Arabidopsis thaliana: one gene and its partners. The protein of the gene in region 1 interacts with the protein of each later gene in a biochemical or structural test. Each region holds a gene or a part of one and is shown on either strand. Other genes may lie near its edges.

Region 1 (9,508 bases):
CAATGATCCAAAAGATAGATCAATATTGCATGGGGAAAGGAACAGTTGAAAAAGTCATGCATTAATAAATAAAGTTTATACTTATTAAGTGGGTTATTGTAGTCTTCTTCTATGTGACATGTTTAAGATCGAAAGATGGCACTTGGCTTCCACTTGGCACTATCTCAGTTTGCATGAAATCACAATATGGTATTTGTCTCTTTGAGTTAAGTTTCACCATTGTTTATATGGATAATATCATGTCGATACAAAATGTATTATAATATCATAACATTATAACGTGTGCATGTAAAATAGGATTATAATAAGATAAGAATTAAGTGCTTTGCTAAAATTCAATGTAATTTATACTTTTCATGCATGGTGAATGAGTAAAAGAGTTGAATGAATCTGATACATGAGACGTGGATGGTAAGCGAGAGCTATGTCATTCACACGTCTCACACAGTGCGTGAAACGGGAATCTCCTGCCACCGCTTGAGAGGATTGACCTTATGGGATAAAAAAATCTTTCGACGCTTAAATCAGAAAATAATCACAAACATGTTATGAGAAAACAAATCAGCGAAGTCGTGGGTCTTGTATCCGCTGGTACTATTGCTCTGATTCTCTGTTTCCGGTCTTCAGCAAGATCCGATCATTATCTCCAGTCATACAAAGATTTTTTTGATTATTTATTTTTGTATATGTTGGATCTTTGTAATGTCCAAGACCTTACCCAAATTTTTGGGAAGGCCAATATTATAAAATTATGAATAAAACAAAGAACTAAGAACTATGGGAATGATATTTTTTTTTTTTTAATATATAAACTACGTGAATGATACCATATCATAAGACAAAAAATAGAAGTATGGATTGAGATACAAGCGTGGCGTCTTTGTTTTCAAGTGACCTATCTCCTTGATTATATTAAATAAAAACTAGTAAACAGGTTACATGATAGATTCGTAGATTAGTAGTATTTCAAGTTATAATTAAGATCAGGATATTTATAGTTACAGAGTATGATCGAGTAACAAGCGACGATTTATATGAGGTTTTTAGGCATGCCGGCTTTAGACTATAGTCGATGAAGCAAGGACTTTAAGGTCGACGCCAAAATATTTTTTATATTTTGAACTTTTGAGAACCCTAGTTAGGCCTAAGCTTCACTTTGCTTGGCACACAGCCGGTTATATTGGTGGATCAATGTATGGATATTTTGTATGTTTGGAGTGATGGCTTTATCGAACTCTCTGAACACAACTCTGCTAACCATACATCCACACGTCGTGTGATAATTAGATCTTATATAATAGTCCAAAAATGACTTCCAACTCATATATTTATATAAATAGTCTTCTTTTGTGGTTATATGTTTGGTTATTTCTATTTATAGTTTAATTCAATACCAATATTACAACTAAATCAGTTTAATTTTTCTTTGATTTGGTCTTTGAATTCACTTTCATGGTCAGTTTCATTGTTTAAGATAAACTTGAATGGATTAAACCGAATTAGGCATTCACTTTTGATCAGTCTCTTCTGCCATAATCTTCATAAGACAAACCCAAATTTGTAAAAACTTTTTTGAAAAAGAAACCGTAAGTAAAAGTAAAAGCGTTTAGGATCCAAGTATGGATTAGCTTCGTAATTTGAATTAGGTTTAGCTATACGAATTCGTTTACTTTTGTACCATATTTAGTTGTATTGTTTTCAATAATAGTTTTAAACATTCGAATAATCCGTTCCCAACTTTTTATCCACTATTATTCGTCTCAGTTTCTAGGATAGATATGTCCACACAAAAAAGCTCTTGATTTTTTTTTTTTTTTTTACAAATTCCAAATTTCTTTGCTCATAACCCAATCATTAGGTTATGACCACCATTGACTCACTCATAAGTCATAAGTCATAGGCTCATAACCAATCCAACAAGTTGTTAAGATTGACAACAACGATTCACTAAGATTCCAACCAAGTCCATGAAATAAATGATTTACAATACTCATTTCTCATGTACGTCTCTTTGAAGGTTTCTTGCATGACAGGAAATCAAAGGTTAGCACACTAATTACTCTTTTTTTCACACACATTCACAGTTTCACACATATGGTGCAGTATTTTGACTCCTATCGTACTAGACTAAAACATTTGGAATGATCAAAAACGAAAGACTCGTTGGGCAACTAGCCTAATAATCACTCTACTACACTAGCTCCCATATCAGTGGAAAATAATAATTCTAAAACGAATCATTTAACTTCTGCATATGTAAACGAAAACGTGTAAATTTATGAGATTACGTAAAAATTAGCAAAATAATATATTATTGATCAAAATTATAAACGTGGATTACATAACATGTTATTTGTTTAAATCATAATTTGATGATAAATTTATAAATAAAGTTCTAATTATTTTATATCTAAAGCAAAATTAAGATTATTTTATAATTTCTATTAATTATAAAATTAGTTAGTTCATATAATTTTAAATAGTTACGTAAACGAGAAAAAATACGAAATTTTAAAGAGAAAAAGATAACAGAAAAGACGATGATGACGATGACGATAACAACGACAATATTATTAACTTTTTAAATCATCTTTCCCATAGTCTAGGAGATTTTGTAGAAAAGAATCATTATTTTTAAAATAAAATTCCGTAAAACTTTTCCCGCCAACCAAACGAACTTTCGCCCTACATAAACAAACGGTTATGAAAAATAGTGAAACACACAACAACACATGTTATATCCTCTTCTTTATACGTTAGGCCAAAAAAGCTTTTTCTATATTACTCTTTAACTTCATCGATTCCAAGAGAAGAAACGAAGCATCAGTGATCTTATCCTCTCATAGCTACCACCGAACTAACTCTCTCCATCACCACCATAACCATTGATTCTACTGGTAATGAATTTTGTTTTTTTCTTACTTTTTTTTACATTTTGTTGTGAATCTAAAAAGTCTCTCTTTCACCTAACGAACGGATTAATCGTTCATGTCGCCACTCACCCAAAATCAATGACTTCCGGAGATCTCTCTTTCTCTAAAACCCCAGAAAAAAGTGGATCTGATCATTTTATAAAATCGTGATTTTTAAAAAAAATTGGTGATCTCTTTTATTGAAGAAATTATTGAACTTTTTGCAGTGGAAAAAATAGAAAGTTCCAAGCTTTTTCTCAAATGGTTCTGATTTAAGTAAGAGTGAAGAAAAGTAAAAATAGAGTCAGAAATGGAGAAACAGAGGAGAGAAGAAAGCAGCTTTCAACAACCTCCATGGATTCCTCAGACACCCATGAAGCCATTTTCACCGATCTGCCCATACACGGTGGAGGATCAATATCATAGCAGTCAATTGGAGGAAAGGTTTGTGCTTTTTTGTTCTAAAGTTGAGAAATTTCAAAGAGTAGTGATGGGTAATTGGTTAAGTAAGGTATTGATGCATGCAGGAGATTTGTTGGGAACAAGGATATGAGTGGTCTTGATCACTTGTCTTTTGGGGATTTGCTTGCTCTAGCTAACACTGCATCCCTCATATTCTCTGGTCAGACTCCAATACCTACAAGTAAGAGGGGATTTTGATTCTGGTCTCATGAGAAATGAAATCGCTTTGTCAAATTTTGATTCTGTTTGAGTTGGACTGAGAAAGATGTGATTCTCAATGTAGGAAACACAGAGGTTATGCAAAAAGGTACTGAAGAAGTGGAGAGTTTGAGCTCAGTGAGTAACAATGTTGCTGAACAGATCCTCAAGACTCCTGAAAAACCTAAGAGGAAGAAGCATCGGCCAAAGGTTCGTAGAGAAGCTAAACCCAAGAGGGAGCCTAAACCACGAGCTCCGAGGAAGTCTGTTGTCACCGATGGTCAAGAAAGCAAAACACCAAAGAGGAAATATGTGCGGAAGAAGGTTGAAGTCAGTAAGGATCAAGACGCTACTCCGGTTGAATCATCAGCAGCTGTTGAAACTTCAACTCGTCCTAAGAGGCTCTGTAGACGAGTCTTGGATTTTGAAGCCGAAAATGGAGAAAACCAGACCAACGGTGACATTAGAGAAGCAGGTGAGATGGAATCAGCTCTTCAAGAGAAGCAGTTAGATTCTGGGAATCAAGAGTTAAAAGATTGCCTTCTTTCGGCTCCTAGCACGCCCAAGAGAAAGCGCAGCCAAGGTAAAAGAAAGGGAGTTCAACCAAAGAAAAATGGCAGTAATCTAGAAGAAGTCGATATTTCGATGGCGCAAGCTGCAAAGAGAAGACAAGGACCAACTTGTTGCGACATGAATCTATCAGGGATTCAGTATGATGAGCAATGTGACTACCAGAAAATGCATTGGTTGTATTCCCCAAACTTGCAACAGGGAGGGATGAGATATGATGCCATTTGCAGCAAAGTATTCTCTGGACAACAGCACAATTATGTTTCTGCCTTTCACGCTACGTGCTACAGTTCCACATCTCAGCTCAGTGCTAATAGAGTCCTAACCGTTGAAGAAAGACGAGAAGGTATCTTTCAAGGAAGGCAAGAGTCTGAGCTAAATGTTCTCTCGGATAAGATAGACACGCCGATCAAGAAGAAAACAACAGGCCATGCTCGATTCCGGAATTTGTCTTCAATGAATAAACTTGTGGAAGTTCCTGAGCATTTAACCTCAGGATATTGTAGCAAGCCACAGCAAAATAATAAGATTCTTGTTGATACGCGGGTGACTGTGAGCAAAAAGAAGCCAACCAAGTCTGAGAAATCACAAACCAAACAGAAAAATCTTCTTCCGAATCTTTGCCGTTTTCCACCTTCATTTACTGGTAATGAATAGATACAGAACTATATTTCTTTGTTTTTTTGAATCTGTTAAATGCAGACTATTTCTTGATAATGATGATGTTTGATTCCTGCAGGTCTTTCTCCAGATGAACTTTGGAAACGACGTAACTCGATCGAAACAATCAGTGAGCTATTGCGTCTATTAGACATCAACAGGGAGCATTCTGAAACTGCTCTCGTTCCTTACACAATGAATAGCCAGATTGTACTCTTTGGTGGTGGCGCTGGAGCAATTGTGCCTGTAACTCCTGTTAAAAAACCACGCCCACGACCAAAGGTTGATCTAGACGATGAGACAGACAGAGTGTGGAAACTGCTATTGGAGAATATTAATAGCGAAGGTGTTGACGGATCAGACGAGCAGAAGGCGAAATGGTGGGAGGAAGAACGTAATGTGTTTCGAGGACGAGCTGACTCATTTATTGCAAGGATGCACCTTGTACAAGGTTATACACCACACTTGTCCTTTTATGTGTTTCTGTTCTAACCACATGGTTTCAATTAGTATGTCTCAGCTACTGCTTCTTGTTATGGTCTTTGGTTTCTAACAGGGGATCGACGTTTTACGCCTTGGAAGGGATCCGTCGTGGATTCTGTTGTTGGAGTATTTCTCACTCAAAATGTTTCAGACCATCTCTCAAGGTACAAGCTCTTACATAATTCTATGTCAAACTAAATCCAAGACAGCAAAAAGTCACAAAACTAACTTGCTTTGATGTTTTTTACTCCTTGTAGTTCGGCTTTCATGTCGTTGGCTTCCCAGTTCCCTGTCCCTTTTGTACCGAGCAGTAACTTTGACGCTGGAACAAGCTCGATGCCTTCTATTCAAATAACGTACTTGGACTCAGAGGAAACGATGTCAAGCCCACCCGATCACAATCACAGTTCTGTTACTTTGAAAAATACACAGCCTGATGAGGAGAAGGATTATGTACCTAGCAATGAAACCTCCAGAAGCAGTAGTGAGATTGCCATCTCAGCCCATGAATCAGTTGACAAAACCACGGATTCAAAGGAGTATGTTGATTCAGATCGAAAAGGCTCAAGTGTAGAGGTTGATAAGACGGATGAGAAGTGTCGTGTCCTGAACCTGTTTCCATCTGAAGATTCTGCACTTACATGTCAACATTCGATGGTGTCTGATGCTCCTCAAAATACAGAGAGAGCAGGATCAAGCTCAGAGATCGACTTAGAAGGAGAGTATCGTACTTCCTTTATGAAGCTCCTACAGGGGGTACAAGTCTCTCTAGAAGATTCCAATCAAGTATCACCAAATATGTCTCCGGGTGATTGTAGCTCAGAAATTAAGGGTTTCCAGTCAATGAAAGAGCCCACAAAATCCTCTGTTGATAGTAGTGAACCTGGTTGTTGCTCTCAGCAAGATGGGGATGTTTTGAGTTGTCAGAAACCTACCTTAAAAGAAAAAGGGAAAAAGGTTTTGAAGGAGGAAAAAAAAGCGTTTGACTGGGATTGTTTAAGAAGAGAAGCCCAAGCTAGAGCAGGAATTAGAGAAAAAACAAGAAGTACAATGGACACCGTGGATTGGAAGGCAATACGAGCAGCAGATGTTAAGGAAGTTGCTGAAACAATCAAGAGTCGCGGGATGAACCATAAACTTGCAGAACGTATACAGGTAAAAATTTAGTGGCTAAATTTCGTGATAACATTCATTTTAAGTATTTGACTCTGAACATGAAAATCATGCAGGGCTTCCTTGATCGACTGGTAAATGACCATGGAAGTATCGATCTTGAATGGTTGAGAGATGTTCCACCAGATAAAGCAAAGTAAGTTTGAAAGACGAAGCATTTTATTTCTTCTTTATTAACCTATACAAAGATTACTACTTTGGCAGTTTTAGTGACTTAATAATGAATTATGTACTCTCGTATATTACAAAACCCTGCAGAGAATATCTTCTGAGCTTTAACGGATTGGGACTGAAAAGTGTGGAGTGTGTGCGGCTTCTAACACTTCACCATCTTGCCTTTCCAGTAAGCAAGGATCAAACTTTTGTTTCTGTCCCTATAAAAAGTGAATTATATGATGCATGAACTTAATTTATTGACAGGTTGATACAAATGTTGGGCGCATAGCCGTCAGACTTGGATGGGTGCCCCTTCAGCCGCTCCCAGAGTCACTTCAGTTGCATCTTCTGGAAATGTAAGCACTTTTCAAAATGGTCCTACTTGGAAATTGTAATTTGTTACTTAATACATCTGAGGTTTGGTTTGTCTAGGTATCCTATGCTTGAATCTATTCAAAAGTATCTTTGGCCCCGTCTCTGCAAACTCGACCAAAAAACATTGTAAGAATGATGTTTATCACTAACTTTTTTTTTTTCATGCCTCAGTCTAATACACTTATTCATTAGTTTAATACCCTATTATCTCACAGGTATGAGTTGCACTACCAGATGATTACTTTTGGAAAGGTATGTATTAAAGAAATACATATATACGTATGTCAAAATCAGCTCACATGATGAGGTTTGTAATCTGCTTGATTATTGTATCAGGTCTTTTGCACAAAGAGCAAACCTAATTGCAATGCATGTCCGATGAAAGGAGAATGCAGACATTTTGCCAGTGCGTTTGCAAGGTGCTACAACATGTTCTCTTAAACCTTTAGTACCACTATGACTCTATGAGGAAAGTCCTTGTTAAAATATAACCCAGTTAAATGAGAATTGGTCTGTATCTAAACGAAGCTCTGAATCATCATTACAGAAAATTTAGTAACATTCATTTGTTTTACAGTGCAAGGCTTGCTTTACCAAGTACAGAGAAAGGTATGGGGACACCTGATAAAAACCCTTTGCCTCTACACCTGCCAGAGCCATTCCAGAGAGAGCAAGGGTCTGAAGTAGTACAGCACTCAGAACCAGCAAAAAAGGTCACATGTTGTGAACCAATCATCGAAGAGCCTGCTTCACCGGAGCCAGAAACCGCAGAAGTATCAATAGCTGACATAGAGGAGGCGTTTTTTGAGGATCCAGAAGAAATTCCTACCATCAGGCTAAACATGGATGCATTTACCAGTAACTTGAAGAAGATAATGGAACACAACAAGGAACTTCAAGACGGAAACATGTCCAGCGCTTTAGTTGCACTTACTGCTGAAACTGCTTCTCTTCCAATGCCTAAGCTCAAGAATATCAGCCAGTTAAGGACAGAACACCGAGTGTAAGAATCCATTTTTCTCTGTTTTTCTTCGTTCTTAGGTTAAAAATGAAATCAGAAACACATTTTTCAAAATTATTAAAGCTTGAACAGAGTAGAATATTTAAGTGATTGACCAAGCATGAACTCGTAAGTTGGAAAGCAGACAAACTTCCCAATAATTACAGGCTATGCCATAACTTGTTTCTTTTCCCGTATCTTGCAGTTACGAACTTCCAGACGAGCATCCTCTTCTAGCTCAGGTATGTGAGCTAACTGGATAAGGACACATGCCGTATAGAGTGCTGTCTATATTGTAAAATCTGACTAGCTGTTTGTGATTTCTTGTGGCAGTTGGAAAAGAGAGAACCTGATGATCCATGTTCTTATTTGCTTGCTATATGGACGCCAGGTAATTTAATGATTTGCATATCTTTTAATCATGAAATCAAATCGGTATCTTTAATCGATGTGTTATTCAACAGGTGAGACGGCTGATTCTATTCAACCGTCTGTTAGTACGTGCATATTCCAAGCAAATGGTATGCTTTGTGACGAGGAGACTTGTTTCTCCTGCAACAGCATCAAGGAGACTAGATCTCAAATTGTGAGAGGGACAATTTTGGTAAGTAGTTGCATCAATCTCCTTATGCGGCTTACTACACTTATGTTTTCTACAGATTAATATGTTGTAAATTGTACAGATTCCTTGTAGAACAGCGATGAGGGGTAGTTTTCCTCTAAATGGAACGTACTTTCAAGTAAATGAGGTAAGACTTGAACTCCAATAACTCCAACTCTTTCATTTTAATTATTTGCATTGAAACTTGTGATGTATTCTATTGATACAGGTGTTTGCGGATCATGCATCCAGCCTAAACCCAATCAATGTCCCAAGGGAATTGATATGGGAATTACCTCGAAGAACGGTCTATTTTGGTACCTCTGTTCCTACGATATTCAAAGGTATAAGATTTTCTTTATTGGATTGTGATGCGATTGTTTATATAAAAGAAAGTTGTTCTAACCACTTGAGCTCTATTTTTCTCAGGTTTATCAACTGAGAAGATACAGGCTTGCTTTTGGAAAGGTACATTTTGTATTAAGCAGTTTCTTCTTGTTCTGAAACATAACTTATCTTTTGATATTATGTAGGGTACGTATGTGTACGTGGATTTGATCGAAAGACGAGGGGACCGAAGCCTTTGATTGCAAGATTGCACTTCCCGGCGAGCAAACTGAAGGGACAACAAGCTAACCTCGCCTAATCCGTTGGCAAGCAAACAAATACAAGCTTATGGTTAAGAGTGAGAGAGCACACTGTTCCAATCTAGTTAATGTAAGAAAGTGAAAACGTAAAGTTAACAGTCCTAGAGTTGTACAAGGTTTCTAAATCCCATTTTAGTTTCGTCTTAAATTTGTATCAAACACTTGTCACAAAAAACAGACCCGTAGCTGTGTAAACTCTCTGTTCCCTTCGTTTGGTTTATATCTGAATTTACGGTTAGCTTTTGGTTACCTGAATCAAGATCTGGTTCGA
Region 2 (8,269 bases), on another chromosome or scaffold:
GAATGGAGATATCAGATATCTTCTAAAAGTGATTTCGAATCATGGACTTGTAAAATTTTTCTTAATTTTTGACTTTTTGATGACCAATTCCTCTATTTATTTATTTATTTCCACAACCGACCAAATATTTTCAGATAATATACTCTGATGGGTCCATTGTATTTTGGGCCAAAAAGCAGTCCTCTATTTTATCAGGATCAGTGGGAATTGACTCGGTTTTGTTCTACTTGTAATGGGTTATGACAAACTGAGACCAAACCAGCCATTTTACCCCTGCATTCTTATTACAAAACGGCCAATGTTATATTGTCAACTGAAATAGTTGAGAAATACAGTTTACAAAAATTTGGCACCTAAAAAGAGATTGAAACATTCTACAAAGCGATAAAACTTTACTTTATCTTTGACCGGACAATAAATGATAGGCATTTCTAGAATTTTAGGAAAAAAATGAAAAAAAATCAAAATGTGAACGTTGATACAATAAGAAAGTCGGTGAACAAAAAAAAGATAATATAAAAGCATAATATAGACAATATAAAAATTGGTTCGACCATCCCAAACACTACGGAGGACCCAAAATATGAGCCAAGAGACAGCGATAGCAAGCTTCAAGAAATTCCAACAGTCATGGATCGAGCAGCTACGAAACCACCTGAACCACCTCCGCTCCGCCCAAAACCATCACCGGAACTCTGCTACCGGTGATGAGGAACGGTTAAGGGAGGCTGTGGACAGAGTGATGGAACACTTTAGAGAATATCACAGGGCCAAGTGGGCTGCGACGGATAAAGACGTCATCGAAGTTATGGCTTCTCCTTGGGCTTCAGCTCTTGAACGGTCGCTTCAGTGGGTCGGTGGTTGGCGACCAACCACCTTGTTCCATCTGGTTTACACTGAGTCGAGTATTTTATTTGAGTCTCGTATCGTTGATATACTTCGTGGCTTTCGCACCGGTGATCTCAGTGATCTCTCCCCTTCTCAGTTCAGGTTCTACACGAACCCCTAATTAGCTACTTTGTTTACTAATCACAACTACTAGTAAAGATTTTTTTATCTAATTTAATAAAATATCCTTAAGTTACGTTGTAATTTGATTGAAGTAATATCGTGATTTGCGCGTGTTATTGTTTACCAAAACTAATACAGGTTCACTCCTACACCTAGAGATATCAAATATGTAGATTAGTTTAGAACATACGATGTTTATTTGTTTACTTTTCTTACCAAAAATGTTTTAGAAAGTGAAAAACACATTTGAGGGATAACAATAAATTTGAGAGATTAAAACACTTATTTTACTTTCTTTTTTTTCAATGTGTAAACAATAACATATGGACTAACTAAACATATTTTGATTACTTAATATTTAATATTTAGGGTTCCATTTGTCAAAGGCAGGACGGTAAGTGAGCTACAATGTGAGACCGTGAAGGAAGAGAATGCGATAACGGAAGAGTTGTCGGAGTGGCAAGACGATGCGAGTGACCTTGTCATGGGGACATCGTCAGATCCCGACCAGAGGATCCGACGGCTAGCAGAAATCGTCCACCGAACTGATGATCTGCGACTGAGAACGATCACACGTGTGGTGGAGGTCTTGAGTCCGCTCCAACAAGCGGAGTTTCTTGTCGCTGCGGCTGAGCTTCGTACAGGCGTTGCTGGTTGGGGGACTAGCCACGACCGTCGTCGAAGTTCCGAAGTTTAAAGCTAACTAAAACCGGTCTAAAGGTAATGAGAATCGAGGAAGAAAAATAGTTTTTGGATATTAATTATATGTTTTTACCATGTTTTTGGTTATCCAGACTGAGTTTGGTTTTACATGGTTATGAAAACAAAAAAAACTCATATGTTATGTCTCTACGGTTGCAATAAAGATCAACCCACGTGTGGTGCTTGTTAGTTTACCTTTTTTAGTTAGAATTTTGTGTGTTTGATTTTTTTTATGAGGTAATTATCGGACCTTATTGGGGCTTCTGATAGTTTGTATATAAAAAATACTAAAGACAGAGAATCGGGGACATGGGTCATTGTTGGTTTCTATAGACCAAGTGGATAAACAGAAAACAAAAAGTCAGCTACAGAAAAAGACATGAAGTGAACGTGGCACTGCCATGTCTCTTGAAGACATGCAAGAGGACACTTGGTGTGGTACGCGTCCTCCTATCACGGTGTCGATTCCAAACATTTTGTTTGGTTTAGTTTTAAGATTCTTCTTCGAAAGAATCTCATTTTTAATCGAAAGATATGATGACATGACAAATTTCTTCTTACATAAATTTGCTCTTATAATGTTTATTTTCGTGTAAGTTTTATATATTTTCTAAAATATTGAACTTAAACTAGCTAGACCCTTTATAAAAATACTATCAGCCCTTTTATATAATGCTTTGGTGACAACAGAACGACAAGAAAAACTGAGAAGAGACCTAAAAACGATTATAGCGGTTTTGATTGGTTGAAGATGTGTCACAATTTTTTTTGTTTATTTCGTTTCATTTTTATTTAATATGCTAGTAAACCTGTTTTTTTTTTTTAAAACTGTATTATAAAAACGTGTCTTGTTAGGCCTTTAAAGCCCAAATAAGCCCAATGAAAGAGGAAAAGAGGAGACACTGAGATTTGGCCCAAACTAACGCATATATTTGTGTTTTACATTTATACCCCTATGACCGACATCAATTTACCGACAGACTCTACTTTCGAGAATGGCGGGAACGTGAACTGAACCCTAATCACCTTTTTTCTCGATTCCCCACCAATGGCTATATGATTACAGTAGCCCCCTTCGTGTCTCTTCGTTTCCAGTTCCCTCTTTATATAATAAATCGCTCCACTCTCTTTTTCCGAGAAAGAACACAGTATCTCGTCTACAACACCTGTCACATTTTGAGAACAACGGCGAAAACAATGCCGGTGGTTGCTGAGTACGCGAAGTCGAATCGGTCGTCGTGTAGGTCATGTTCGAACAAGATAGCTGTGAAATCGCTTAGGTTAGGGTTGATTAGCAAAGGACGTGGCGGGGTTGACATGACCAGGTGGCACCATTTCGATTGTTTTCCGACTGATTCTGAGTCGATTGCTTCCGTTGATGATATTCAAGGCTTATCCGCTTTAGAGGTTAGGGTTTCCTTACATTTCTGTATTTTGGACTCCCTAGGTTTTTTTTCGTCTAAAGCTTTTCACTTTCGGTTATTTGTGTTAACGCTTGTGCTTATGGTTACAGAAAGAAGATCAAGATGCTTTGACGAAATTGGTGGAACAATGTGGTAAAGTACCTGCAAAAAAAGTAAGACTTTGGAAAGTGATGCTCTTTAGTCTCATTTGCTCATATCTACTTTTGCCTAACTGCTTGTATCGGTTTAAACTTAAAGCAGCCTGATGAGAAGAAGGGGAAGGCTAAAAAGCATATAATGGGGCCGAAGGGGCTTACGAAGGCGGCAACATCTTCAAAAGTTATTGCTGATAATGCGAAATCGAGCAGATCATCATGCAACAGGTGTTCTCAGACAATCGTTTCAAAGGATCTGAGAGTGGGGCTGGTTACTGAAGACTCCAGGGGATTTGATATAACAAGATGGCATCACTTGGGTTGTTTTCCCATTGATTTTCATCCAATTGATTCTGTGGAGGACATTGGTGGATATTCATCGCTTGAGGTTAGTTTTTGTTTACATATTAGGAATTTTCAGTTCAGTGTATAGAGCTTTTGGATGATTGCATATGACATGTGGTAACTTCGCTAACAATATCTTTTTTATTTGATTCATTTGTCATACTCAACAGAAAGGTGACCAGATGGAATTAAAGTATTTGGCCGAAGTAAACAAGAAGGATAAAACTTTGATAGATGTACTATCCATATCCCTTGTCATAATATTATAGTCTGTTTCTGCAAATGTAGAGAACTTTACCATTTCAGGCTTTTTGAAACTAACTTCTTACTTCCTTTGCTGGCAGGATGTCCAGAAGATGGATGAAGGTGATGATGAAGCTATAGCTGATAATGAGCTAACGGAGGAGACCAAAAAAGGAAAACATTCTCCTGTTGCAAAATTGGTGGAACAACCTGGCGAGCCTGCAAAAGAAGTAAGTTCTGGAAGCAACAATCTTCTTTTATGCGAGGAAGAAATGATATGCAGACTTCAGTCTTATTTTCCAACCTAGATGTAGATTTTTGACTGAAATACTTCTTTTAACTGCTTGTATCGGTTAAGGATGAGGATGAAGAGAGTAAAAAGCCTGCATCAGATGAAATAAGTGAGCAGAAGACTAAGGATGTGAAAAATTCTCCTGATTCTTCAAAAGTTATTTCTGAGTATGCGAAATCGAGCAGATCAACATGCAAGAAGTGCTCTCAGACTATCGCTGCAAAGGAACTGAGGTTGGGGCTAGTGACCAGAAACTTCCGTGGCTTTGATATGAAACAATGGCATCACTTGGGTTGTTTTCCTGTCGACTCTGATCCAATTGTTTCGGTAGAGGACATTGGTGGATTTTCAGAACTGCAGGTTAGTCTGTATTTAAAGATTCAGGGGATAGAGCTTCTAGATTATTCATGTATCTTCTGGTAACTAGGATCATTTGAAACAGATGCTATTTGGAATATAGATGTTGGTATATAGTTAATTTATTGTCAGGTTGGCATGACATCGTTGTCAGTGTCGTGCAAAATTAACACCCAAACATGTATGTATTCCTTGTTTCTGCTAACACATCTTTATATTTGATTTATTTTTAATTATAAACAGAGTGGTGATCAGGATGCATTAAAGGAATTGGTCCAACAATGCGGGAAGCAGACTTTGGTAGATGTAATAGCAAATCCCCTTTTCATAATATTTGTTTTCTTTGGCGAAAGCATTCTGTTTAAAAGTTTTATCATGTCTTAACCAGAAAATAATTTTAGAATTTATGTCTAAACTAACTTCTTACTTCATTTCGTTGCGGGATTGCAGAAGATGGATGAAGATAATGATGACACTGAAGCTAAAATTAAGCTAACTGAGGAGACAAACAAAAGAAAACATTCTGAGGTTAATAAATAGCAATAATCACATCTTTTTATACTATAATTTTGTTAAACTGGAATATTCCTTGACCTGTAATTTATTGTTTCTTATAAAGGTTGGGGAGATGGTGGAAGAAGATGAATCGCTAACTAAAGCGAAACAACAGATGGCTAAAACACATAAGGTATACAAGCAATGATAAGTATTGAATACCTTCTAATGGTAGCCACTCTTCATTGTGGAGAAATTATACTTAATGATTTTAAAATATTGTGTTATGCAGGTGAACATGAGTGAGTCAACTTCTCAGGTCGAGGTTGAAGCAGAAATCACTCTTTCAGCGTCTGATGTGAAGGATAAGTACAGGGTAAGCACTTATAGTGTCTAGTAGGTTAAAGCCATGTATTCCTGTGTTAAATATTCTTCTTGGAGTTTGTAGCTTTGGCATTTGATCCCTTTTTCGAGTTCTTTTATTTTTCTGGCTGCTAATCTTCTTGTTTCTCAGGATGCCAATCTATTACCAAAATGGAAAGCTTTTGAGACAGTTATATTCCTTGAGCGGGTGAGAAATCATCTTCAGATATGATGTACATGATGGTAATATATTATGGCCTAATGGTATGTTCCTTTGTTGCATTTTAACAGGATGATGGTCTTAATGATTCAGAAAAAATAGCTGCATTTGACTTTGATGGATGCCTTGCAAAAACATCTGTGAAAATGTAAGTAGCTCTTTGGTCACCCATAATATTAGTGTGTTCTCTGTTTTTATGGACATATGGGCTTTTCATTCTATCTCAAGTGATTGCATTTCTGCAATTTTTGTTTATCCTTTTAATGGTGTTATGCACGAACCTCGTCTTTCAAGGAAAATGAGAAACATTGTAATGTGTCATAATGTTTTATATTCCCTTCTTTCTCAGAGTAGGGGCAGATGCATGGTCCCTAATGTATCCTTCCATTCCTGAGAAACTGCAAAGTCTGCACGATCAAGGCTATAAGCTGGTATTTTATTTTCAGCTAGAATTAAGTCTTAGGTACTCAATAGTATTGTTTATATAGATTATAGAGTAGCTGATTTTAAATGTTCAACAGGTCATTTTCACAAATGAATCCAACATTGATCGATGGAAGAACAAGCGGCAAGCTGCTGTAGATTCGAAAATTGGACGGCTCAACAGTTTTATCGAGCGCGTGAAGGTCCCCATTCAGGTTAAGTGCTCTTCCGTTTTCATAAGTAAGAACGTGATTGTATCTATTCAAGAACACTGTGTCAACAAACCCTAGCTATTATTATGAGTAATGATAAGAAACTATGATGTATTCAATGCCTTGTTCTGTACTTAGTTCATATGGCTTTAATGATTTGTTCCGGCGTATAGGTATAATCAGAGAGAAAATAGTGATTCTGTCTTGCTTGTTCTTATTAGTTAACACCCCAAATTTTCAAAGTCTTAAAAGTGCCAATTCCCTACATTGTTGCTGATACTGTGAAGATTATAAATGGTTTTGTTCTGCAAACAGGTGTTTATAGCCTGTGGAGTCTCAAGTTCTGGTGGTAAAGGTGGTAAAGATGACCTTTACCGCAAACCCAAGGCTGGAATGTGGCAACTCATGAAGAAGCATTTTAACTCTGGAATTGCAATTGATATGGATAAGTTAGTTTTCTCCCCACCTGCTCCTAAAAACTTGAATTTACCTGAAACTTCTAGCAATGCTGGAAGATTACACTCATTTGTCCACCAGCCTTACTGATTAAACACTCCGTTTAAGTCCACTAGCACATTTTTTGTTGTTGATACTGACATCTGTGCTATGCTCATCAGATCCTTCTACGTTGGGGATGCAGCTGGAAGAAAAATGGATCACAGCGACGCTGACATCAAATTTGCACAGGTATTTATTGCAAACGTCAGACAATACCCATCCTTTATTTTATAAGTCACCCTATTTACTTTTCTGACTTTCCTCATAGACAACTACTTTCTTTGGTTGCAGGCGAGTGGGCTAAAGTTTTTTACCCCGGAGGAATACTTTATCCCCTCAAGTACATCGCCAGGGACTTAGCTGTATCAGTCTTGTGCTTGTGTTTGCAGTTTGCAACTTCTTTTGCTTTTTTTTTTGTGATGAAACTAGTAGCTAGCTTTTGTGATAAAACTAGTAGTGTGCTTTTGTGATCAAAGTATTAGTATGTGTTTTAACTCTTTTTGTATATTACTGATATTTAAGCGTCAACTAGAGCTTATTGAACCAGGAAAAAGAAACTCCTTTGAACAGGCAGGATTGCAAAGTCAACATAACAAACCACTGATAACAAAAAAAGTTCAAATTTCCGACTCATTTACATACATGGGATTGGGAAAGTTTAAAATCTCTTATGATGCTAATAACATACATCAAAAATTCACTCTCCTTTTCACTCTTTAATCAGAAGACTCAGACATGAAATCACTCCTTCTGACCAATCTCGCCTTCCAAAATGGCGTGTCTTGTCAGAACAATCTCTTTGACAAGGTTTCTGTAAACAAAGGGCCTAACAGCAGCACGGAGAAAGAGCTCAGGTGGAATCCTACTCTTCTTTATCTTCTTCATCCACCTTCCATATCCTACTGTCTTCCATTCTTCTGGCTTCACTTTTGCCTTCTTACCTCTCATTTCCAACTCATCTCCTTCAATCTCTCCCTTTTCTCGTTCCTCCAATGCCTTTAACTGCTTCTCATAAAACTTATCTGACACCACCATACTCATCTCCGCAAGCTTCTCCATCCGCTCCGCATTGTTTGTCGCTTTGTTGAATTGCTCTTCCCAGTACCTCTCATCCTCTTCCGGATCCGACTCCTCTATTTCATCTTCCAAACTGTCTTCTTCAACGTTTCCCTCCACATCGACAACCATGTTATCATCATCATCTACTTCTTCCACCTCACCATCATCATCATCATCATCATCATCATCATCGTCATTGTCAGCTTCATCTTCAATCCATTCTGAGAACTCAGCCTTCTCTGAGCTTCCACTAATGCTAATCTCATCCTCATCTTCATCTGGAGCATCACACCCTAACTCCATCTCCTCCAACTTTGCTTTCCATTCTTTTGTATACGGATGCAACAGCTCGTTCGGGTGGTTTCCAAGCAAGAACTTCAACACTCTGGACTTCTTTTCATCACTCAACTTCTCATAAGCATTCACCACATCATCCACGAAAGCTGTCTGTCTCACCTTCAACATCTTACACAATCCTCCGTAATAAGTAC
Region 3 (6,771 bases), on another chromosome or scaffold:
TAGGGATTTGAAGATTTGGGGGTTTCTGAGATTTAGAGATTAAAAAATCGAATTGGGATTTTGCGGTTTGTGTTTAAGCACAAAACAACGTCGTTTTGGATAATAACGGAATGAATAACGTCTGCTAACGTCTGTTATCGATTATGTTAACGACAGATAACGTTGTGGTGTTTGTGGCATGGTCAACGTTTTTCTATGTGTAAAATGGTTGGTCAACGATTTTGTCATGTTTTATTTGGCCACATACGAAGTTCACGTATTAAATGACTATGTTTTAAAAGTTGGCGTATTAAACAACATTTTTTCCATTAAAGAAATATCGCATAATAATATTATATATCTATACTATATTTTGAAAAATGTTGTGGCTTTCTAGAAAAAAGGAGAAGAAGGAAGATTTAAAGCAAAAAAAAAAGTATTTAAGCTGTCATAAATAGAATTTTTTTAATCAAAAGTGTCTAAAAGGTTATTTAAACTCGGTTTAAGGTGTGTCAATAGGTAGAGAAATACCGAATTAGCTAACCCGACCCGTACTCGGGTGGCTCTTTCTTTCAATTCTTTCTTATTTTGTGGTCGTTAAACAAAGACCGGATAAGTTGAAGACATTCGCGACCGTTATTTATTTCGCAGAGTGATTAGAGATAAAGAGAGAGACAGAGAGAATCAAAACAATGGCCACTGTGAAAATCTCTCTTTCCTTGGCTTCGCTATCACCATCTTCTTCTTCTTCTTCAATTCAATCTAAGTTATCACCATCTTTCATTCCCAATGCGGCACCTGCAAAGGCGGTGAAGTTGCGATTCAATGGAAAGTCCCTGAGAGCAAAACCAATGGTATACAGATCATCTCGCTCCGTTGGAGTCACCTGCTCTGCTTCATCTTCTCTGACGACTCTTCCCTCTGCTCTTCTCTTCGATTGCGATGGCGTTCTTGTTGATACCGAGAAGGACGGTCACAGGATCTCCTTCAACGACACTTTCAAAGAGGTTTCTCAGTTTTAGTTTTTTGGTCATTAGCTCTTAGCTTCGGTGATGATAATTGGAATCTTTTGCAGAGAGATTTGAATGTTACGTGGGATGTTGATTTATACGGCGAGTTACTTAAAATCGGTGGTGGTAAAGAAAGGTATACAATCAAAATTGCATTTACTATACCAAATCTTGAGTTAGTCTCTCGTTTGAATGAAATTGGAGTGGCTTTGTTTTGGTAGGATGACTGCGTATTTTAACAAGGTTGGTTGGCCAGAGAAAGCTCCTAAAGATGAAGCAGAGAGGAAAGAGTTCATAGCTGGACTTCACAAGCAGAAGACTGAGCTTTTCATGGTTCTTATCGAGAAAAAGCTGCTTCCGCTTCGACCCGGTGTTGCAAAGTTAGTGTCACTTCTAATGTTCTATTCTATATTCTCGATGCTATTACTTGAATGTCCCTTTTGAGTTTGATTTTTTTAAAGTCTAAAACTTTTAACCCAAAACAAGGTTTAGCAAACTTACTAATGATTGATACTCCTGAATCATGATGCTATGAATGTTTGTAAGGCTTGTTATTTCAACTAATCATATACATGTTCTTGTTTGTTCTGAGCCCTCTTGCTAAAACTTTGCAGGTTGGTTGATCAAGCTTTAACAAACGGAGTCAAAGTAGCTGTGTGCAGTACTTCAAATGAGAAGGCGGTATGATCAATCAGGTTCTACTACTTCAGTTTCCTGAGACCATAACCATATATCTCAAAATCTTGTATCCTGATGAGTTTTCGTAAACAAGACTACGCGCAGCTGCATCGTTAACATGAATATGCGAGCATCGTCTTAGCTTAGAAGAACTGTATAATCGGAAATACTTTTCTCATTTCTTGCCTGATTTCAGGTTTCTGCTATAGTTTCATGCTTGCTTGGACCAGAACGAGCAGAGAAAATCAAGATATTCGCAGGAGACGTAGTCCCCAAAAAGAAACCTGATCCAGTAAGTTACTCACTTTCCATGCTATCACAACATATGTTTTGCTTGCTTCGTCTTGGTTAAAGACCGAGTCATCAAACTTTTTGTTTCTTAACAGGCCATCTACAACTTAGCAGCTGAAACCCTTGGAGTTGATCCCTCAAAGTAAAGTGTTACTAAGATTCTTTACAGGAGAGAATGAGTCAGTTTAGAAAACTCTCTTGAGATATGGATTTGTGTATGTGCAGATGTGTAGTGGTTGAAGACAGCGCGATCGGGCTAGCAGCTGCAAAAGCTGCGGGAATGACTTGTATAGTTACAAAGAGTGGGTGAGTTTTAGTCTGAAATCAGAATCCTATTCATAATTCCATAACAATCAGAATTGAAATGATCATTCGTTCTTTCATCTTTGGAATTGTAGATACACGGCTGATGAAGATTTCGAGAACGCAGATGCGGTTTTCGACTGCATTGGAGACCCTCCAGAAGAGAGATTTGATTTGGCATTCTGTGGAAGTCTTCTCCGGAAACAGTTCGTTAGTTAAAAACTACAAACCACATTAAGAAAATTGTTTCTATATCAACATTGTTGTGTATAGTCATTTGAACAGAACATTCATGTAAAACCATATATATAATATAATTCGATTATAACATTATGAAGAAAAGCGTTACAATATATTGGGCTTGTGAGCGTTGTTGGGTTTACTATGTAAATGGTTTTGCTTGACCATTGTTGCAAATTTCTATGTGAACTTCGAATATACAACAAACGCCGAAACACAAAGCTTCGAATATACAACAAACGACGGGACAACGTAAAGTTCGTACCTTTTTCAAGTTGGTATCTGAATTTTGGTGAATTGAGTTTTATCTCCATAAAGCTACGAAATTGCTATAGCTATGAAGCGATTCTTCAAGCCCATAGAGAAGGAGAATTCTCCGGCGGCTAAGAAACCCTGCCTTTCGCCGGAAAAGCGTGACGGAGACGGAGATGGAGTTGAAGAAGAGAAGAACCAGAACGAGCCGTCCAAGTTTATGACGTGGAACGCTAATAGCTTCCTCCTTCGGGTGAAAAATGACTGGTCTCAGTTCTCTAAGTTCGTCTCCGATTTTGACCCCGATGTCATCGCCATACAGGTGATTTCTTTTGCTTCGTCTTTGGAATCCCTGGGTTAATTTCGAGCAATGTGGGTAAATGTGCTTAGGTGTTTATGTGTGGAACTTTAAAACCCTCCAAGTCTTCTAGGGTTGTATTGAAGTGGTTTGAGTTCAACTTGTTGATGCAAATTCAGTCACTTATGACATTTAAATGGTTAATGGTGCAAAAGATCAGACTTTAATCCAATTTGTTTGTGACTACGATGGGGGAGGGGGCTGTTGATTCTTTTAGTGTCAGCGTGTTCTGAGCTTAGCGGTTGACTGTGTTCTTAATGTTAGGAAGTAAGGATGCCTGCTGCTGGTGGAAAGGGAAAACCTAAAAACCATGAAGAGTTGAGTGATGACACGAAAGTTTTGCGTGAGGAAAAACAGGTACCATGGTTCTGTATTGACTTGCTTGTTCTATCTGTTAAAATAGTTGTATTATAGTACCAACGGAACAAGAATTTTCAAAGCTCTGTATCTTGATGCATTTGCAATTAGTAGGAGATTTTGGTGTATGAGTTAGAATCAACATTGCAGTGGCATGGTTATAGACAGATTTTAAAAGAATGCGGGAGCCACTTATGGAGTAACAAACTCTCTTGTTGTTTGGATAACATTCAAGCTTGATATTAGTTCTGGGAAACTTAACTTGCAGATTTTGACACGGGCTCTCTCAAGTCCACCATTTGGAAATTATGGGGTTTGGTGGTCTCTCGCGGACTCGAAGTATGCAGGGACAGCTTTGTTAGTGAAAAAATGTTTCAAGCCTCGAAAAGTTTACTTTAACTTGGACAAATTAGGTATTTTTATAGCCTTGTTGCTTGTTCCTTATCATCACATAAATCTCTTGCACACTAGCAATTTGAAGCCATGTTTCTTTTATCTGTCTTGTTATGGTTCTGCCATTTCCTTGATCTCAAAGTTGATGTACTTGGGAGAAATATATCATAGCTAGATCATTGATGACTAACTTATATACTTGTCGCTCTCATGCAGCATCTAAACATGAACCTGATGGTCGTGTTATCTTAGCTGAATTTGAGACATTTCGTCTTTTGAATACGTATTCGCCTAACAATGGTTGGAAAGATGAAGAGAATGCGTTTCAGAGGAGAAGAAAATGGGACAAGAGGATTGTTGAATTCCTCAACAAAACATCTGATAAACCGCTAATATGGTGTGGCGACTTAAATGTCAGGTAATGAGGAAGTTTTTTCTATATCTTCTCTTGCTATACTCTTTTCCTTAAGCCCTTACAGAATAAAAGTTGATGTTATTTCCTCGATTCGATTTTTGTAATACGCAGTCATGAGGAGATAGATGTTAGCCACCCAGAATTTTTTGCTACAGCAAAGCTTAATGGTTATGTTCCTCCAAACAAAGAGGTAAGGAATACCATATTTTGTACGATTTATTCATTATCATTATAGCTTTTATCTAAAAACAGAGCTGGCTCTCAATAATGTTATTTTCCGTCGGCCTTTTATATCTCTTCCTATCTTGTCTCTTCATCTGCATTGTGACCCTGCTATTGTTGATGACTTTACTACGCCTGTATTTCTCTTCCTATCTTGTCTCTTCATCTGCATTGTGACCCTGCTATTGTTGATGACTTTACTACGCCTGAACCGAAAGGTTCTCCGTGAGATGGACCTTTAAATCATACAATGACTACAGTGGTTTTGAGTTTTTTGATTATGCAGGACTGCGGACAGCCTGGATTTACACCATCTGAGAGAGGACGCTTCGGGGCAACTATAAAAGAGTATGCGTAATATGTCTTTGCACTGCGAAGTCTTAGTAGTAGTACTTTCTAGAATACAGATTAGAGTTACTAAACATGTGATTATAAATTATATTTATGGGAACTGTTACAGAGGAAGGCTTGTTGATGCATACCGGTATCTACACAAGGAGCAAGAAATGGAAAGTGGCTTCTCATGGTCGGGGAATCCCATTGGAAAGTGAGTGGATACTACACATTTTAGTTTTATGGCTTGGAGTCCAGAACCTCCGCATGTTTCTAAAGCTATATATTGATTTTTTGTTTTGGTTGCCATAGGTACCGGGGAAAGAGGATGAGGATCGACTATTTTCTGGTCTCTGAACAACTCAAAGACCGTATAGTTTCTTGTAAGATGCACGGTCGTGGGATAGAACTTGAAGGTGCCATAGATAAACCTGTTCATCACACAGATTCATAGAAGATTATTATTAGCTCTTTTTGCAACAATTTGGTTCTTGATTTGTTTCAGGTTTCCATGGGAGTGATCATTGTCCGGTTACACTCGAGCTTTCGAAGCCATCTTCAGAAATGGAACAGAACCAGGTGTCAAACTAAAATCATCTTCTTCTGTATTAGAACATAAGGCCTTCTTAGGAACAAGCCAAAGCTTATTTTATCAGAGAATTTAATTTTTACTTTGCCGAGAGATGCATTGAAGATTTGATTGAGGTTATTGAGACACTTATTTAGCCTTGTTACTCTGATGAACTCTCAAATGTACTTATAATTATTGTTGTGCTTATCTTAATATGTTTTATTTTCCTAAGAAATGTTGATATTTTTAATTGTGAATCTTCTTCATTTAATTATTTTTATTTATTAACTTTTGAGTCATTTCTAAAGATTTAGAGCTTTTGTTGGTGTATTTTAAGCATATTATACCCTTTGCTTTATTGTCTTAGTCAGTAGGTAGAGGCAACATTCGTTAAACCAATGGCTCATTCAAATTCTTTTTTTTGGGCTCATTCATATTCATAAAAATCAAATTTGGATTCAGCATAACAAACACAATAATATATGTAGACATTTATATCATACATTAATTTCTACTAATTTCATGAACTACCAAAGACTAAAAATGTTTAATGAGAAATATCTTTTTTAAAACCATCAAAAATTTTACTCTTAAAATTGGGATTTATGTTTGGTTTTAAAAAGGAGTTTTTGAATGTGCAAACGGATTTACAGAGAGGACAACAACAAATGTGTGTTAGAAATGGCAGAATCGTAAATAATAAGAAAATCATACCCTTTTAAAAACCATTTCTCTCTCTAACTAAGTGTTCTTTACTTGTTTTAATACAGAGATATCACAATCTCTTGCTCTGCCCAAACCCATCCCAACCCCCTAAAAAAAATACAATTTTTTCCTCTGTTTCTTTAATCCAATAAAAACAGAGAGACCTAAGAAACGAGATCAACAAAGCCCGTCGTTTTTTTCGAGGAAAAGTGAATGACCCTTTAAGAAAATAACTCTATTGGCCGGAGAAATGGTGGAGACTCGTCGATTCTCTTAAAGTTTGTTTTTTTTTCCTCTCTTCAAAATTTTTGTTCTGTTTATACTCTGTAATGGCGTTTTAATTTGATACCTAGAAGTTAAAGTGAACAAATTTTGAGAGAAAGTCTCTTTTTTTTGTTCTTCCCTGTGTGTGTGAGAGAGAGAGAGAGATATGGCGGTTTCAGAGCAGAGTCAAGATGTGTTTCCATGGCTTAAATCGTTACCGGTTGCTCCAGAGTTCAGACCTACTCTAGCAGAGTTTCAAGATCCGATCGCTTACATTTTGAAGATTGAAGAAGAAGCTTCTAGATATGGAATCTGTAAAATTCTGCCTCCACTGCCTCCTCCTTCCAAAAAAACCTCGATTTCTAATCTCAACCGTTCTCTGGCGGCAAGAGCGGCGGCG
Region 4 (7,108 bases), on another chromosome or scaffold:
TCACATCGCATGTTTAAGACAAAGTAAAAACTGAGAAAGAAAGAGAGGGAATCGGAACATACGACGATGAGCTTGAAGAGGTTGGCCTCCTTAGGAGGAAGCGAAGCCCCCATTTTATTGCGCTACTGAGAGAGCTCGCGAAGACGAAGACGGAGAAGAAGAAGAAGAAGATGTTCTTCGCGAGTTCGATAGGGTGAGAGAGAGATAGAGGTGGCGTACTATCCGCTTCAACCCTACTGCGAAACAAAGAAAGGCACAACTCTCACAAGACAAAACCCAATAAGGGTATAAATAAATTAGGGTCTTGTCTTCAATCAATCTTCTTCGATCCTAACCATATCGGTACATGTTTCCGGTTTCAATTCGTTTGTCTGATATTACAAAACGGTTATTAAATTGGATAGAACCAAACCGGTTCAAAACTGGAGACATCTGAACCTAATTGACCAAATCAAATTTGTATTAACCGATCAAATTCATCGTCAATCGACACTAAAAAGTATCAAATCAAACCGACTTATTAATTGCAACCGATTACATCTCTCAATCGAATCCAAACCAGCATAAATAAATTCTAATTAGAAACATTCTTTCCGAACCAAGCAGACCGGATTATTTCAAATTTTTATCAGTAATAACATCCTACTCAAACCGAACAAACCGAGTATAACAAGAATTCTTGGAATTCCTTAAGAGATCATATGCAAAATGAAACAAGTTTGATCTAAAGACACTCTAAAGAAACGTTCCTATAAGCAAGTTCGATCTCTTCTTCAGTCATCTCAACGGTCATATCACTGTCATAGCCACAAGCAACCCGAGAGGTCGATTCATCTTCGCCCGGTTTTGCTAGCTCAGCTTCGTAGATCTTTTTCCACGACTTTGCTTGTTTGCAAACTTCTTCCTTTGATGCTGTTGAATTTTCCTTTTTAGAAGACGATTCCATCTTTCCAAGCTCCTTCACTACACGAGGGACAAAGCTCCATAGCTCTGTAACTGATCCAATGTCCTAAAATTAAGAACATTCGAGAATAAATTCAACCAATGATCTTCTCAAAGAAACTGATCAAAGTTTAACAAATCCAAAAATGTACACAGGCGGCAACTATTATTGTTCAGACTTCAGAGATATTAACCTGCTTCTGTTCAAGAGAATCTATGGCGTCTTGTAAGCAGGTTAAGACTCCTTCCGCAGCTATTCGCTTGATTTCGCCTGGTTCTGGCTGTTACAATGGCTTTAGAATAACGGAAACATACAATCAAGAAAACATGTCTTTTGAAAGAGCATATTAATTCCCTTACTTTTTCCTCCTGACTCTCAAGCCATGAGATGGTTTGACTTAGGTCATCCCTGGCCCATTTCTTCACCTCTGTAACAAAAAATGGCTCTTTCACAAGATTGCAAGCTGATCTATTCTGTGAACATATGGAAATAAACAGTCATAGACCATTGATTGGAGCAAAATACGGTTCGTTTTGGTTAACCAAATCATCAGATTTAAACATGCCTTGGATGAGGTAGATGGTGTTCCCCTTGTTTCTGTTTTTTTCTCTACTTGCTTCTCTGGTTTTTTAGACAGGTGTTCTCTCTTTTCTGAATACAATCAATTAAGGTTCACAGAGTCAACTAAACATCGGAGTGAAGCAGTGCAATAAGAAAAGCTTTTCTCTTGTCATAAACGTAAAAACAAGGTGATTTGATGAACCTCAGGATGGTTAAAACGGAGATTCTATCTAAAGCCTTTCCAATATAATTCTTTTTACCTCGATTAGCATCTTGGGGACTACTGCTTTTCCTCCATGGTTTTCCAGCATGCATAAGGTATTGCTCGATATCTACCAACTTCTTCTGCGCATAACACTCAGTTATCCACTCCTGGAGACAGTGAAATCATATAAAATATCAGCAAAAAGGAGAAATTCAAATCCGCACACAATCCCTTATAAGAAGAGTCAAAGAGGTAACCTTTGAGATAATTGTTCCACCATTTGTTTCAACTTGACGGAACTTTGGAGTGTTAGGAAAAGCACAAATCAACAAGGTAGAGCCAGCGTTCCAGTCAGGTTGATAGGTGGCTCCCATTGTCAAGGCTTGTGACCTCAGTGTACTCCTCTCAGGATTAACAAAGCCCGAAAGTACAAAAACAACGCCTTCCTGCATAGTTTAACCTTCAACTCAATCACAAAAGCATATAAACTAACATGACAGCTTAAGATAATTGAGTCTCAACAAGACCATGAAGACACACACAAACCATAAGTTTAGAGAATTCAGTGGTATTTGAACTTGGCTCGGCGTGTTCTGACTTGTTGGAAGGGGCATTTCTACTGTTGTGCTCTTCGGTTGGTCCTTCATCCTTAGGCTTCTTACAATGAGACTTACTCGGAGTAATCTCGGGATCCCTAGAACTCATCCAAGAAGGAAGATTTCGCTTCTGAGACATCTTGTCCTTTACAGTGGAGAGAATACTAACACAGCTTTCGTCCTACAAAGAAACACTATTATGAACCTAAGCCACTAGTTACTTGAAACTCCAGGAAAATATTGCTATTGCATCGCATCTAGCACAACACAAAGCCAGAGAGAAAACGGTGCAAATCTGCAAAAAATGTAAAACATTCCCTAAGAAAGACAAATCTTAATACAAACGAATGGTATAACCTTTTTTCAATTTCAACATAAAAAAATCAATGGACAATGGTTTTAACATAACTCAGTAGCACTGAATTTGAATTCGAGTTCAGATCAAATCACACTGGAAAATTGGAATTGAATACCAAAAAAAAAAAAAAAAAAAAAAAGAAGAAAGACATTGCAATTAACAGAACATCGCGAACTTCGCCATAAAACCCTCGAAAACTAAATCTACCCATGTAAATGAGCCAACACAGAGGAGAAGACTATAAACTTGAGAAGAAAGCGAGGAACCTTTAAGTGCTAGCGCTCCCCCCGTGGCTTCTCTTTGATCGAAATCATCAGAGACTATTCAATTTGTCAACATACAGTACAAAATCAGATCAAAATGACGGGTTTTCAATTTAACAAATGATTCAACTAGCAAAGGTGGACGTGCCGGAGTGGTTATCGGGCATGACTAGAAATCATGTGGGCTTTGCCCGCGCAGGTTCGAATCCTGCCGTTCACGCTTTTTTTTACCAATTTTTTGCTTTGACTCTTTCATTCGCGTTTTTACTCTTCTGCCCTTTTTTCTTTTTTTTTGGACATCAACTTGTCTGCCCTTTTAGGATTTCTAATGTTTCATTTTTACGGTGGAGGGGGTTTATGAATTAAAAGAAGTACAAAACCAAGGTCAAATTACCATTACTAAATCATTCCTCGTTTCAATCTTTTTTTCCTAAGTTAGCTCAGTCAAATCCTTCGTATACCTACAATGAGCTCGATGAATTAGACTTAATGCACTGGAGAAGCTAAAGCTTGCAAGGGGAGGAAACATCCTATTTCTTCTGAAATATATCGTATGCTTGTCCATATCATTGATGTCATGATGTGTCATGTCTCATATTCTCGTAACATCCGCAACACAAACCCATCATATATGCTTTTATCTTATCTTTCTCTCGTTGTGTTGTTGTTTTTGCTACAACACAATTCCAGGACTAAGTTTCTGAATATCAATGAGTCTAAACATGTCAAAATTAAACTACGTCTTCACTTTGTCTTTAACGTACCTTTCTTTGATGAAAAAATGAAAAAAAAGTTATAAAAAAAATAACGTACCCTTCTTTAACCGCAAACTGTTTTTGGACTTTTGAACCCATTTCCGAAATTTCAGGGCTTCTTTTCTTCAAAGTTACGTAGTACGTACTAATAATAAGCCATCGTCACGACTCACGTGGTTACTAAATAAGATATGCTTATAAAAGGATTCAATATATTCAATGGCTTTGGCACGTTCTGTCCTCGCTTGACTTAAGCCATGTTAATTTGACCGTTGTGTTGTCGTTGGTCTGTTCGACGCTATCAATATAAAAAAATGTGTTTTATTAGCTAAATTCAGTTGATTTATCATACTCTGTGCTTTCCCTCTCGCTCACTTTATATATATCGAAGAGTATTGAATCATCTTGATTTTCTTATTTCATTACCATTCAACATTAAATCATGTTGTCAAAATTTATTTCCAAAAAATGACATGAAACCTCGAGCAAACCCTTAAAAAAAAAAAGGTAGATAAGTTGATGTTAGTATATGATGATGAGGATGAATGAAAATAGATATTCCGCGCACTTATAAAAAAAGAAATACAATTACTGGCAGTAGAAGATACGAAGTCCACATCAGCTACCGGATAACTATCATAATGGATATGGAAAAGGACGTAAAAATAAATACCAAAGGAAACTTCATGAGCTTATCCTGTCTGTATGTACGAGAGCTGTTTTATTTGATGTCGACCGCATGAATATCCAAATGATCTATTGCATGTCTTCGTAACAATTTGATCCCTACCATTAATTAATATGCAAAATAATAATGCATATATGATGAAGACGTCGAGTGCCTAATAGAAAGATGCGGCGAGTCAAACTATCTTTTGAGACATATATACTGTTTAGCTATATATCTTTTCAAATGAACATTTTCCTATGTAATTGGCCAGCGTTTTCTGCGGTGCCAAAGCTCATATTCTCTCGATCATCTAACTGTAAACCTTATTACTTAGCTCTGGCAGATGTTATTATCTTTGCCGGTTTGCTTCGAGGCTTTGTGCTTCTAATTTAATCAAGTGTCGACATAATTGGAAAAAAAAACGAGTAAAATGCAAATAAATAACGATCACATATATAAAGAAGTAATTAAACTCTTTTGGCTAGTTATTTCGTGTGTTCTTCGTTTTTTTCCAATTTGCTTGGCGAATTTTCTTGTGAAGAAAATACTTGTTAAGAGATTTGAATAATTGAACGCGACCAAAGAAGAGTATGAGAATTGAAAATATCGACACGAACATTGATGAAGTGGGTCCAACACTCCCAGTACCAGTCTATTCGGGCTATTCCTATCTACGAAGAATCGGATTGCTTCCGTCGTTTATTGTTTAGATTTATCAAAGAGCCAGCCACCCGACGAATCACGACGACTCTTCTTCCCCCCTTTAAGGATGTTGACACCGTGTCGTTTTGTCACCTTATAGAGTTATAGTCATTCAGACGCCGTGCCGTTTTATCAGTTAGAGTTATTTTCTTCATGTTGAACCTTTTTTTGTCAGCCCGTTTTATCCCACGTTGAAGTTTCAATTAGCTTATTTTAAAAAATATTAGATCGGAGTATCTTTTGTCTAATTAACCAAAACTCCAAGTTACTACATTTATATGCAAATACATGAATGGGTCATAGTAATCACAAAACTATTGTTTTAATAAACCAAATATATGCGTTAAAGATGTTTACAGCTTTATACATATGGCGGACACTAGAACTAGTCCAACCTGCATGGAACATGCTACTAATTCCCTAAATATTGTATTATTCCGTATTCAATTTTGTACAGCTACGAAAAATAGAGTATTGTACATAAATGTCCATACGTTACAGATTAAATTAGTAAGCAAAAATGCTTTGATTAACGAGTATACGCTTTTGAGTACGGAGACAACATTTCGTTTCTTTATGTCACACGCGTTAAGAAGTTTAATAAAGATCATATATAATTACGACAAATATCTGTATATATTGTAGCTATATTTATAAAAACATATAACTTTGGTCATCGGTAATAGTTTAAAGATGTCGAGTATCAATACAGATTTAAATATGGCCGACCAAAGATAGACACACACATACAGACAACAACAAGCCAAATAAGAATCAAATAAATTTTTGTCAAAAAAAAGGGAAATTCTACAAGTGAAATTAGAGAAATTATCTAGAAGGATTTTAGAGGAAAGACTCCAAGGCATTAGTCTTTGAGCTGGATTTGGATTTCATTTTAATAAAACATAAATTAATCTTTAAACGCTATTATGTGCTTGGATTATGTACCACATAATGCGAAGGAAACATCTTTGTAGTTTTGCGTTCTTCATATAATAATATTTTGCCGTCGTGTATGTGTAGTATACATATATTCATCACTTTAGTATACAAGTTGCCACAAAGTTCTGTTGTTTATAATAAAACCAAAAAAAAAGAACAAGTTCTGTTGTTTATAATAAAACCAAAAAAAAAAAAAACAAGTTCTGTTGTTTGGAATTAGGAGATCGATTTAAATTTTTACAAAGCAAAAGGGTGTGTGTGGTCCGATTAATATTTTAGTATATGAGAAAAAGAAAGGGTGTGATCTAAATTATAGATTCAGAAGGTCCATTCAAAAAGTACAGTCTTTTATGTGTAGGTTTTAAGTTTTTTCATTATTCTTAAACGAACAAATGATAGATTAATTTTATTCTGTTTTTTGTTGTGCGCACTAGTAAGTGTATACTCTATAGCATTAGATAGAAAACAGAGTAACATGTCAAAACAACATCCAAAATCTAAAATCAGTATTAGTCGAAAGGCCTAATTCGATATTCGGTAGTATATTTTACCGTCTATGTTTAGATATATAATCTGTTGTTGACTGGAATTCGAATGCTAAATTACTAAACCTGACCAGAAAAATATCAGGAGAAAATGAACTTGGATATGACATCCATCAACTTGTCCCAATTGGTCCAAAGTCTCCATCTTTAAATACAAGACACAACCATTAACCGTTTTTGCCCATACTAACTCAAATTCCGTTATCTTCATTTTATTTGATTTAAACTATAAAATATACAACACAAAAATTATATTAAAAAAAGAAAGAAACGATGAATGAATCAACAAGTTTTCTAGAAACACTTATCTTCAAATATCTATAAAGCGGCACACTCTCCTCTTTCCCATCATCATCATCATCTTCTTCAACCTTGTCTCGATCCAAAATTTCATCTTTTACCAAAACTATTACAATATCCCTCACTCTACTTGTAAAGCTTCAATCTTCTTCACTTCTCAACAAACAGATAAACAAAAAGCTTCAATCTTTGATACTTTCTCGATGGAACTTATCCCCAATCTTCCCGACGACGTTGCTCGCGAGTGTCTCCTTCGCTCCTCCTACCA

What was found.
Region 2: the proteins of DML1 (region 1) and AT3G14890 form a complex in vitro, tested with the Arabidopsis thaliana proteins (one study listed by BioGRID).
Region 3: the proteins of DML1 (region 1) and AT3G48425 form a complex in vitro, tested with the Arabidopsis thaliana proteins (one study listed by BioGRID).
Region 4: the proteins of DML1 (region 1) and ATXRCC1 form a complex in vitro, tested with the Arabidopsis thaliana proteins (one study listed by BioGRID).

The regions. Positions count from the first base shown.
Region 1 is NC_003071.7:15,307,987-15,317,494, reverse strand, and holds the start of DML1 (demeter-like 1), read left to right. Parts: upstream 1-2,687; 5' UTR 2,688-2,897; intron 2,898-3,139; 5' UTR 3,140-3,222; coding exon 3,223-3,356; intron 3,357-3,439; coding exon 3,440-3,555; intron 3,556-3,657; coding exon 3,658-4,788; intron 4,789-4,881; coding exon 4,882-5,253; intron 5,254-5,358; coding exon 5,359-5,449; intron 5,450-5,542; coding exon 5,543-6,440; intron 6,441-6,514; coding exon 6,515-6,594; intron 6,595-6,716; coding exon 6,717-6,801; intron 6,802-6,878; coding exon 6,879-6,970; intron 6,971-7,046; coding exon 7,047-7,115; intron 7,116-7,204; coding exon 7,205-7,241; intron 7,242-7,325; coding exon 7,326-7,408; intron 7,409-7,566; coding exon 7,567-7,992; intron 7,993-8,194; coding exon 8,195-8,231; intron 8,232-8,322; coding exon 8,323-8,380; intron 8,381-8,453; coding exon 8,454-8,593; intron 8,594-8,672; coding exon 8,673-8,738; intron 8,739-8,819; coding exon 8,820-8,934; intron 8,935-9,019; and 4 more. UniProt on the Arabidopsis thaliana protein: Bifunctional DNA glycosylase/lyase, which excises 5-methylcytosine (5-meC) and 5-hydroxymethylcytosine (5-hmeC), leaving an apyrimidinic (AP) site that is subsequently incised by the lyase activity.
Region 2 is NC_003074.8:5,005,982-5,014,250, forward strand, and holds AT3G14890 (phosphoesterase), read left to right. Parts: upstream 1-2,694; 5' UTR 2,695-2,769; coding exon 2,770-3,120; intron 3,121-3,226; coding exon 3,227-3,289; intron 3,290-3,377; coding exon 3,378-3,659; intron 3,660-3,786; coding exon 3,787-3,852; intron 3,853-3,960; coding exon 3,961-4,089; intron 4,090-4,217; coding exon 4,218-4,511; intron 4,512-4,751; coding exon 4,752-4,814; intron 4,815-4,958; coding exon 4,959-5,036; intron 5,037-5,127; coding exon 5,128-5,196; intron 5,197-5,295; coding exon 5,296-5,379; intron 5,380-5,517; coding exon 5,518-5,574; intron 5,575-5,657; coding exon 5,658-5,734; intron 5,735-5,935; coding exon 5,936-6,017; intron 6,018-6,107; coding exon 6,108-6,224; intron 6,225-6,536; coding exon 6,537-6,670; intron 6,671-6,838; coding exon 6,839-6,908; intron 6,909-7,010; coding exon 7,011-7,079; 3' UTR 7,080-7,284; downstream 7,285-8,269. Other genes in the region: AT3G14880 (transcription factor-like protein), read left to right, coding at 584-990, 1,381-1,708; EMB3120 (uncharacterized protein), read right to left, coding at 7,461-8,269. UniProt on the Arabidopsis thaliana protein: Nick-sensing 3'-phosphoesterase involved in a base excision repair pathway required for active DNA demethylation. The N-terminal DNA-binding domain binds specifically to gap sites and sharply bends the target DNA.
Region 3 is NC_003074.8:17,929,072-17,935,842, forward strand, and holds AT3G48425 (DNAse I-like superfamily protein), read left to right. Parts: upstream 1-2,633; 5' UTR 2,634-2,838; coding exon 2,839-3,075; intron 3,076-3,375; coding exon 3,376-3,468; intron 3,469-3,736; coding exon 3,737-3,881; intron 3,882-4,077; coding exon 4,078-4,279; intron 4,280-4,387; coding exon 4,388-4,466; intron 4,467-4,784; coding exon 4,785-4,846; intron 4,847-4,958; coding exon 4,959-5,045; intron 5,046-5,143; coding exon 5,144-5,247; intron 5,248-5,336; coding exon 5,337-5,422; 3' UTR 5,423-5,673; downstream 5,674-6,771. Other genes in the region: AT3G48420 (Haloacid dehalogenase-like hydrolase (HAD) superfamily protein), read left to right, coding at 672-986, 1,055-1,125, 1,211-1,369, 1,604-1,670, 1,864-1,959, 2,054-2,100, 2,184-2,264, 2,357-2,480; REF6 (relative of early flowering 6), read left to right, coding at 6,538-6,771. UniProt on the Arabidopsis thaliana protein: Apurinic/apyrimidinic (AP) endonuclease involved in active DNA demethylation and gene imprinting. According to a report, also displays an in vitro 3'-phosphatase activity. According to another report, has no in vitro 3'-phosphatase activity.
Region 4 is NC_003070.9:30,234,720-30,241,827, forward strand, and holds ATXRCC1 (BRCT domain-containing DNA repair protein), read right to left. Parts: upstream 3,817-7,108; 5' UTR 3,740-3,816; intron 3,147-3,739; exon of another isoform or gene 3,065-3,146; intron 3,053-3,064; exon of another isoform or gene 2,984-3,052; 5' UTR 2,930-2,983; exon of another isoform or gene 2,487-2,929; 5' UTR 2,445-2,486; coding exon 2,256-2,444; intron 2,156-2,255; coding exon 1,967-2,155; intron 1,877-1,966; coding exon 1,765-1,876; intron 1,670-1,764; coding exon of another isoform or gene 1,620-1,669; intron 1,595-1,619; coding exon 1,509-1,594; intron 1,417-1,508; coding exon 1,303-1,416; intron 1,224-1,302; coding exon 1,137-1,223; intron 1,010-1,136; coding exon 725-1,009; 3' UTR 501-724; downstream 1-500. Other genes in the region: EMB2753 (tetratricopeptide repeat (TPR)-containing protein), read right to left, coding at 63-113; AT1G80440 (Galactose oxidase/kelch repeat superfamily protein), read left to right, coding at 7,044-7,108. UniProt on the Arabidopsis thaliana protein: Corrects defective DNA strand-break repair and sister chromatid exchange following treatment with ionizing radiation and alkylating agents.